2 linked regions of the Caenorhabditis elegans genome follow. The protein of the gene in region 2 purifies or fractionates together with the protein of the main gene of each other region. This does not show direct contact. Each region holds a gene or a part of one and is shown on either strand. Other genes may lie near its edges.

What was found. Proteins that work in one complex are often made in the same cells at the same time.
Region 1: the proteins of nsph-4.2 (region 2) and lbp-6 fractionate together in Caenorhabditis elegans (co-fractionation; one large-scale study listed by BioGRID). This does not show direct contact.

What each region holds. Positions count from the first base shown.
Region 1 is NC_003279.8:6,727,796-6,732,400, reverse strand, and holds lbp-6 (Fatty acid-binding protein homolog 6), read left to right. Parts: upstream 1-3,024; 5' UTR 3,025-3,034; coding exon 3,035-3,241; intron 3,242-3,795; coding exon 3,796-3,996; 3' UTR 3,997-4,105; downstream 4,106-4,605. Other genes in the region: lbp-5 (Fatty acid-binding protein homolog 5), read left to right, coding at 132-341, 871-1,071; ant-1.2 (ADP/ATP translocase), read left to right, coding at 1,442-2,344; mec-6 (Mechanosensory abnormality protein 6), read right to left, coding at 4,360-4,518.
Region 2 is NC_003282.8:5,215,774-5,221,421, forward strand, and holds nsph-4.2 (Nematode Specific Peptide family), read left to right. Parts: upstream 1-3,022; 5' UTR 3,023-3,058; coding exon 3,059-3,335; intron 3,336-3,439; coding exon 3,440-3,939; intron 3,940-3,987; coding exon 3,988-4,356; 3' UTR 4,357-4,396; downstream 4,397-5,648.

The DNA of each region.
Region 1 (4,605 bases), on a different chromosome or scaffold from region 2:
TCATAGGCAATTTTCTAAAAGCAGAAATAAATCATCCAGAATTTCTTAATACTTATTCGTTTTTCATTTAATTCCCTTTATTATTATTCTGGTACTTCTTTATCAAAATTGTAAATTTCCAAATTTTCAGAATGTCTGCTGAACAATTTGTGGGTCGTTGGAAGCTTGTCGAATCCGAGAATTTCGAGGATTACCTGAAAGAAGTTGGGGTTGGTCTTCTTCTTCGTAAAGCCGCGTGTGCTGCAAAACCAACTTTAGAGATCAAAGTGAATGGAAACAAGTGGCATGTCAATCAACTTAGCACCTTCAAGAACACCACATTGGAGTTCACTCTGGGAGTGGTAAGTGAAATTTTGAAAAAAGGAAACGAGAATAGAACTCAACAACTATATGGCTTTTTCGTTAGTTATTTTCTTTCCCATTTAAAAACTTTCAAATGCCTTTCTCGAAACTCTAGCAAACACTGATAAGACTCAAACTAGTGGGTCAAAGTGCAGGAAGGTACACGTGGTTTTCAGTGTAAACAAAAAAATGAGAATAAAGAACAACTGAACTTTGTATCCATTTGAACACTACACACAACAAACGGGTGTTCTATTAACATAGATACACTTTGTGGCATGAAGAAATAATCTAATGTTTATGTCTTTCAGAATAGGTCTATGGAAAATTCAATTGCGAACTCTAAACGAACATTTGAAATCAAAAAAAGAATCATATTAAATCTAACAAAATATTTTTTTTTCGAATTAGTTACGATCTTTAAATGTGTCGGCTACATGAAAAACAACTCCCGGTTTTCATTCCATTAAAGTTCAGTTTTTAAATTGACTGTTATAATTTACCATTTAAAAAAATAGTGTTTTTTAGGAATTCGACGAGACAACACCAGACGGTCGTCAATTCAAGTCAACCATCACAATTGAAGATGGAAAAGTAGTTCATGTTCAAAAAAGGATTAAGGATTCAGATCATGATTCTGTAATCACTCGTTGGTTTGAAGGAGAAAAGCTCATCACAACTCTCCAATCTGGATCAGTTATCTCTCGTCGTGCCTATATTCGTGAATAGATTATTTTGAATATTGTTCTTGTTTTGTTCGGTCTTTGATGCAATAAATAGCGAAAAATAGTGTTTTTGTTTACGCAGAGTGACGTTTTAAAGGACCAGAAACCCTTTTCTTTTCTCTGTCTCTGTTAAAAAAGGCCTTGTTTATTTTCCGTAAAATTTTTCATTAGTTTCAACAATTTTTAAAGAAACACTTTTGTTTTAGATTTTTCTTTTTTTTTAAATTAATTTTATTCTTTATATTGATTAGACTTTCATGACCAAAATTTTGAGAAGAGTCTAGTGAGCTCCTTCCTACTCGCATTTGAAGAAAGTTTTATTATCAGCATTCAGGAAATATAATCTCTGAAAAAAAACATTCCAGAAGGACAAAATGACCACAAAGGAAGGATTTGATTATCGAAAGTTTCTTGTTGATCTCGCCTCCGGAGGCACTGCTGCAGCAATCTCAAAAACTGCCGTTGCTCCAATTGAACGTGTAAAGCTTCTACTTCAAGTCAGTGATGTCTCTGAAACAGTAACTGCCGATAAAAAATATAAAGGAATTATGGATGTTCTTGCTAGAGTGCCAAAAGAACAAGGATATGCAGCATTTTGGAGAGGAAACCTTGCAAATGTGCTTCGATATTTTCCAACGCAAGCGCTGAATTTTGCATTCAAAGACACTTATAAGAAGATGTTTCAAGAAGGAATTGACAAGAATAAAGAATTCTGGAAATTCTTTGCTGGAAATCTCGCTTCTGGTGGAGCAGCTGGTGCAACATCTCTATGCTTCGTGTACCCACTGGATTTTGTGCGTACTCGTCTTGGAGCCGATGTTGGAAAAGGAGTGGATAGAGAGTTTCAAGGTCTAACGGATTGTTTTGTGAAAATTGTGAAATCAGATGGACCAATTGGTCTTTATAGAGGATTTTTTGTTTCAGTACAAGGAATTATAATTTATCGTGCAGCATATTTCGGAATGTTTGATACTGCCAAAACATTGTACTCAACTGACGGGCAAAAACTCAATTTCTTTACGACATGGGCAATTGCTCAAGTTGGAACAGTTGGTTCTGGATATTTATCATATCCATGGGATACAGTACGTCGTCGAATGATGATGCAATCAGGGAGAAAGGATATTCTCTATAAAAACACTTTGGATTGTGTTAGAAAGATTGTGAAGAATGAAGGAATTACTGCATTATACAAAGGAGGTCTTTCAAATGTATTCCGAGCAACTGGAGGTGCTCTTGTGCTCACAATTTATGATGAGATTCAACATTTAATTTAATTACAGAATTAAAGTATGTATATGTTAATTTTGAAACAACATTGCCAATAAATTTTTTTGTTTAAAATGCATTTTTACTTTATTTTAAAAAAAAGAAGATTGTTTAAGTTTCACAATTTGAAAATGGGCTTCTATATATGTACAAGATACTAGTTTTTTACCTCAAAAAAAAATAAATTTAAAAAAAATTAAAACTTAGATATACTTTAATCAAAAACGATATTTTCCTCCTCAGAAATTTCAGAATTTTTTTGATAATATTTTTGTTTTTATTCGACTGAAAATTCCTCACTTTTCCTCTTTTCTATTTTTATTTTTCAAAAATGATGCAACGAATCAAAAAATGAATCATTCTTCAAAAAAAAACGAAACGAAAAATAGAGGAGACAGAAATAGAGAAAACGTTTTGAATCTCCGCCCACTCTTGCCCCCTATCATTCCATTTATCAGACCACCTAAATACGAATGATTTCCCAAGGCATTGCCATTCGTTTTCTTGTTGATTTGCAACTTTTCTTTTATTTCCATTTGCAAGTGATATGATAGTTCATCTTCTAAAATTAATTTTTAAAATAAGATTTTTTAACCATAATTTCAGACTAACGTTTTATTCAGACCTATTACATATCCGTTAATCTATTGAACTTTTTACCTGCTTTTCCAACTTCTTCTATTTACAGAACCATCACCATGTCTCAAGAATTCGTTGGACGCTGGAAGCTCATTCACTCAGAGAACTTCGAGGAGTACATGAAGGAGGTTGGAGTTGGATTGATCACTCGTAAGGCTGCTGCCAACTTGAAGCCAACTTTGGAAATCAAGGTCGAAGGAGATTTGTGGTATTCCAACCAATACTCCACATTCAAGAACACCACTCTTTCTTTCAAGTTGGGACAGGTAAGAAAGTGCAAAGTTTTTTACTTACAAAAGACAAAAATAATGTTATCAAAAAAAATGTGGGTTTTCTGATTCCAAATTTGCGACAAAAAAGTTACATAAAAATAAAGAAACGCACTACAAATTTATGAATAAAAATTGTTACTTCCATATTCACAGACAAAAAGTCTTAAAATTCCAGGTGATAACATTTCAAACCATAAATCATAAAATGATCATTGATTTCTTGTTATAAGACTTTGATAAACAATATGTATTTCCCATAGTTTTCGTGTTTTTTCATGCACGAATAATATTTTTTTAAAGCCATGAGAAACAATATCTGATTTCAAAATGCACGTTCGTTGATATCGGCAATTGTGGACAAAGTTTAGCGACTTTCTGCCCACAATTTGCTGTGAGCAAATTCCTGCCAACATTTTATCCTATCCATTTGAGCTTTTGGTTTGAGCAAGTTATCCCCAAATTCCAAGTAATTGTATCCAATAAAAATTGTTTCAACCCTGAAATTGAACTAGCATTCTTCAGACTTATATTTAATGTTTTTATCCCAGGAATTCGATGAGACCACTCCAGATGGCCGTACCGTCAAGTCAGTTGTCAACTTCGAGAACGGAAAATTCATTCACATTCAAAAGAAGATCAAGGACTCTGATAAGGAATCAATTATCACCCGTTGGCTCGAAGGAGACAAGCTTATCACTACTCTTGAATCTGGATCCGTTGTTTCTCGCCGCGAGTACGTTCGCGAATAGATTCTCAATTCCCAACATGAGCTTTGTTCTTGTCTTCCTGTGATATTTAATAGTAAATATTGAAATTTAAAGTATTACAATTATTTCTTTATGGCAATAAATGAGAAATATATTATCAGACTTCGAATCAAGACACTAAGAATGACTAATTGTGACGAGAAATTAGTTAATTTGAAAGCTGCTAAATTCTCATAAATCGACTTTCCTCTAAAACGCTGGAAGGCTATTGAAAAGGGGTGGAGGCGTGGCGCCCCCGTTACGCCTCGACAAGTTTATAAATAAATCTAGATACAATGTCTACAACACATCTGTTTCTAGATCATATTCATCGGTTTATTTTTTAAATAAGCTCTAAAAGTTTGACTATGTAATATATGAATGCGTAAGATCACAATGAAGAAGTCTTCCAAATGAACTTCCAATTAACATTTGTTCATCAGTGAATACAACTGATGAACTCGCCGAAATAGTTGCTCCATCGTTTGCATACGGTTCAGTTGTTACCCAAGAGTTGCCTTCTTCCTGAAACAAATGCGATTTTTGATTTTTTGACGCTTTTTCGCATTGATTAGTATTTGAATGAATTGATAAAAAACGTGGAAACAGAGT
Region 2 (5,648 bases):
ATTCATATTTGTATATTTTCAAAAATTTCATGTTTCAAGATAACGAAAAGTATAACGAAAAATTTGAAAGGTTGTTTATTCTGTCCTTAAGCGTACTTTCAAAAAAAATTGAATAAAAATCTTTTCTCTGTTTCACTATTGCTAAATAATTGTTGACAAAACGTTTTGAAATCATTGGTGGAGTCTGTTCCAATTCGATACAAAAAATCACGGGCACATTCACAAGGTCAAACAGTTTTGACTAATTTTTTTCGGAAACAAAAAAAAACTAAACATTGGTTTACTGAAATTCGCAGAACATTTGCATAATAAATAAAAGCAATCTTCGGCAACTGCTTGTTAAACGTTGGTTGAGCATGTGCTCAGATCCTGAGTTGAACCACTTTTGTAATAACTTTTGGTAACAGTTTTTTTTCATAAAATAAATAACCACCGTAATCCTAATCCTATGTTTTTAAAAATTGTTGCAAAAGGTCAAAGAATACAAAAATCAGGTGAAGAAAAAAACGGCTTTTGAAAAGAGTGAGAGAAAATAGGCTGAAAGGTGGGAGGTGAAAAGAAAACTAGAAATGATTCAAGTGAGAAGCAAATTTGTTAAACTCTACTCATCACCTTGTCTCTCTTTCTCTCGTAATACAAGCTGTTGATAATGATAATGATGATGATGAACATATACACAAAATCGAGAAAAAAACTGTGAGAATTCATTGAGAATTGAAGAGAAGAAAAAGACAACAAGTTACACAGTTGAAAAGAAGAATAGAAACTGATAAAAGTAAATTAGAAAAAGGTTCGAGAAGATGAGGAATTGAAGGTCAAGGGCACTCCCTTTTTTTACCTTTTGAAGTTCCTTGTTCGAAAATTTGGTCATTTCATTTTATGGTTCTTTTGTGTTTTATGTTCGGTATTCCCAGCAGATGACAGTAAGCATTCAGCGAACTTTAACATATGATATGGGGTTAAATGACCTTCGTCCATTCCTCAAGCTTAATGTTTCTAAAAATACACGGAGTACTTCAAAATTGTACATAAACCACTGGAATAAAAAAAAGAGTTATATCGTTTTTTTTTCCTACAGATATGATTATTCTGATTACTCATAGAAATAATTTTAAAAAAAGTTCTTTGAAAAATTTGCTTCTGTTCCCTAAATGATTAGACAAACTTTGAAAAAAAATTGACTGTTTCCAAATATTATCATAAAAGCGTTTTATTATAAACATGTTTTCATTAGACTTGGCGTAATCTCTTGGCATTTTGAAAAAAATCAATTTTTAAATTTTCAAGGTTTAGTTGCAAAACGACAGAAATTCTGCAAAAACTTGTGTTGTGATCATAAGTACAAGTGAGTAGATGCAGTAGATACAATTCTCAAATTTCAGGCAACTTTCCGACTTTCTATAGTTGAAATTTAAAAAAAAACATGAACGATTTTATTCTCAAAGCTAAAAATTGTATAAAATTTCGTGTAATATTGGTGAAATTCTAAAACTTGTTATAATAACAAGCTGAAACATGGAACAATAACTTAAAATTCTTTCGGAATGGGAACTTCTTCTGTTCCAGAGACTTTTTTTTTGCTTTTAGAATTTTTATTGTTGTGATTCATGAAAAAACCTTGATACGTGAGGCTAAATGTTCGCGTGCTGGCAAAATTTGAATGAACAAAAATGAAGAAAAACATTTTGAAAAAGTTCATTTTAAAATTGAATTATACGTGACTTCCTGATAACCTTTCCAAAAAAGGTTAGATCTTATCTTCTGTCTATAAAAGGACTCGAAATTGTCATATTTGCTCATATTGGAACAATACTTCGATCGCCTTCGGGCCAATGAGCAGCAAAGTGACATGCAGATAGTCCAACGGGCTCATCATATTTCCGTCGTTTTGTCGCGTTTATACGATGTGCTTGAATCGATTAAAAAGATTCGAACTGAACGTTTCTTCATATTTTAACACCTTTTATATACACCAAAAGGAGGAGGTTACGTTAAAATTAATTATTTTTTATCCAAATAAACTGTACATTTTTGATGAACTCAATGAACTATCAGACGCTAAACCAACACGTAAAACACGCTTGTAATATTATTAGGGAGTGCAAGCCTAATAGGGAGCCCATACTAATATAATGAATACGGCATCAAAAATTGAAGTTACAGTGTGTCAAATTAATCAAATGGCTGACAACTTTCTAGCGCTTTTTGATAAAGACAATAAGTTCCTGGAAAAGTATATGGTAACTAGAAAACGTTTGCTCTCCAATTTAAATAAGAAGTCGATCATGTTAATGTCCAGAAATTTGCATCAAATTTCAAGAAAATAGAAAACTGTATTTATTTATACAAATAATGGAAAATTTTTATTTACATTAAAAAAGCTAAAAATATACAAATTAAAAGAGGTCTCAAAAAGCAATCGGGAAATTGTCCATTTTTATCAACATTTCCATTTAAACGAGTATAGTTTTAGATTTTTGTGATCCGAGCTTAATCAATACAAAGCAAACGAAAATAGTCAAAGAAGTACAATAAATCAATAAAAAAACTTGCAAAAATGACATATGAATTTTGATGTGAATCATTCTTTAGAATAATACAGCACTGTAACAAGCCGAAGTAAGTAAGCTCTGTAAGTGAGTTTTTAAAAAGTTATGGAATAAGGATACTGAATAACTTATTGCTTTGGACCAAAAATATATATACTTTGCTGAGAAAGTGGAGAAAAATTTGGCGGCTCCTGAGCGAAGCCGCATCCCTATCTTAATTAGCAGTTGCGTCTGTAACCCTAGATTTTTGCTTCATGAGTTAATTCTTGAAACTATTTTTTCAACTCAACAAAATGTTTTTAAACACGTGAAACCGCGCTAAATACAAAAACAGAAGAACACTTTTTTTTTTAAATTTCAGAACATCTAAAGTGCCAAAATTTTAATGTGACCCCCTGGTAACCTCTCCCTAATGAAAAAGAATCTCCCTATAAAAGGAGTCGAAATTGCCATATTTGCTCATATTGGAACAATACTTCGATCGCCTTCAATCATCGTAAACAACATCGATGGCGCCGAAGCCGAATCCGCCACCAAAAGAAGACACATGGGCTTTCCAGCCGATTGGTTCACCGTTCCCGCCGAGTCCTGTCAAATGTATGGGAGAGCAGAACATGTATGTTGCTCTCTGGTACAAACATGGTAAACCAATTCATGGACGTTCCTGGAACAACGGAGGAGTGGTTGAATGCTCATTCCCATACAAGCAGGCAGAGTTGACGACCAAGCAACAGCTCGAGGGACAAATTCAGGTGCTCCAGTATGTCGGAGATCACAACAACCAAGGTGAGCTTGATGGCTTTAGATAAGGATGTTTGGTTAACTTGACTGAACTGGTTAACCAAATTGAAAGATTGAACCAATTGGGCTAAAGAGAATAAACATTTCAGGATTCTGGTATGAATGGATCAAATACAAGGATCGTATTGAGAAGATCGACGACAAACATCAACTTGTTCGCTGTGGAGATTCGTTCCCAATCTTCTGGAAGAGAAAGGAAGGCAATCTTCTTGGATACGTTGACAATAAGACGGAGGAAGGATGGTTCTCGTTCAATGGCAAGGTGATCAAACAAGTCGGTCCACAGTTGAATGAAATGTACATCATCACTCGCAACTGCATCGGAGGACCACCACACTGCGAATGCGAGAACTGTCCTAAACCACCACCACCACCACCAATCCCACCACCGGGCCCACCACCACCACGTGTCATACACGACGAATGGATCGATATCCGAGAGGGAGATCCATGGCCTACTCGCAAGCTTGTTCAAGCTTTGGATAAGTCTTTGGATACTCTTCCAGGAGTCAGTGCCGATCAATATGTTGCCTTGTGGTACATGCAGGGTGAACCTGTTATGGGTCGTGTCTGGAATGAGGGAGGAAAGGTTTGTGGATCTTATGAATGACGGAAATTCTAATTTTGGAATATTTAGGTTGCTGCCAACTTCTCTTGGTTCAACAACGAATACTGCAAGAACGTTGGATCCATTCAATTGCTTGTTCGTCTTGGACCACACGTCGTTGGATACGAGTATGGATGGATTCCATTCCCAGAAGCTGCCAACTTTGATGCTGGAAAGATCTGGAAGCCAGTTCACGTTAACAACCACAAGGGAGACATCTCAGTTGGAGTCGTTAACCTTCCAGGCGGAAAACAGATCCTTGCCAAGGTTGATGTTCGCAACGAGTCGTACGGATATGGTTACCAAGGAAAGGAACACTCAGCTCGTGGACCAGCTTGTGCCTCCAGTGTCACAGTTCTTTGCCGCAAGGCATTGCCAGGATACACCCTCGACGGATAGAAAGAGCACTTCTCAGAGTTTGAATAAATAGTTTTGAAAGAAATTGAGTTTTGATAAAAATACATTAAAAAAATTAAACAAGAGAACGAAGTCTTACTGTGGAATTAAAAATAATCTGATGTCAAGTTACTTGAATTCCGGTTTGCCTTCAGTTTGTATTCTCTTAAAACCATTTGAAAATTGGAAAATTGGAATTTACCAAATATGGAAGAAATTGACTTAATATGATAAATTAATGAACAACGACGGGGTGCAAATTATTGGCAACAAGCAACATTATTTAGCTTTTTTGTAAAGTATTTATTTTTTTTTAAAATACGATTAGTTGATCGTGTGAGAAATGAAATTCCAATACAACACATACACATAATCATACTGAGCAATCAATCAAAAAACAGTAATAAGCAATGCATAATAATCAATTGACATGTAAAGTGTATCCTTATCACCTGAGATTAGTGAAAAGGAACGATACAAGAAAAAAGTTGCAATAGTAAACGGTAGATGAAGCTCTGCAAATTTCAGTCAATAACGATAGTCGATAATGGTAAGATAAGCATATTTCTGAAGCCAATTTAAATTAATTCCGTTAGGTTTCATTAAATTATTTATTGAGAAAATTCATTAGACGTTTTCTTCAAAATTAGCTGAAAAAATATGAGTTCCCTTGACATCAAGTTAATAAAGAAAATGTGATCTTATTTGGAGTAATTAAGTTTCTTATTTCTTGATTAATTTCAACAAACCTGCGCATCCAACAATTTTTTATGAGAATCTGCTAATTCACCGACAGCTCATTCTCATTTTGATTCCCATTCCAAATAAAATTCAAATAATTTTCCCCAACTTTTTATCTAACTTTAGCAATTTAAATACACCAATCAGAAAAGTTGCCCACAAGGTTTGACATTTTTCGCCGAGTAACTTTTAAATGTTTATCCCCAGGTTACCCAATTCCGAGACCTCTGAAAAAGTCTCTTCCAATTAAGCATATCCAAAGATTTTTATAAGTTTTTCAATTGTCAAAATTTTTATAACTCGGCGAAGATTGACGAGTGATCTAGCTTTTAGCTTGAAACAAATATGTGAACGTCCAGCACCTGACACAAGACAAAGTATTAATCCAAACAAAGATAGTAATTTTAATGGTTTTATTAACAAGTAAATAAAAGGCATTTCAGAGTATGAAGAGTTAGTTCGATAGGATTCTGTTCACTCCTTCTTCTCGTCATCCTTTTTATCCTGAAAATTTGTTGAAAATTTTAAGAAAGTCAGAATCTGTCAAACTCACA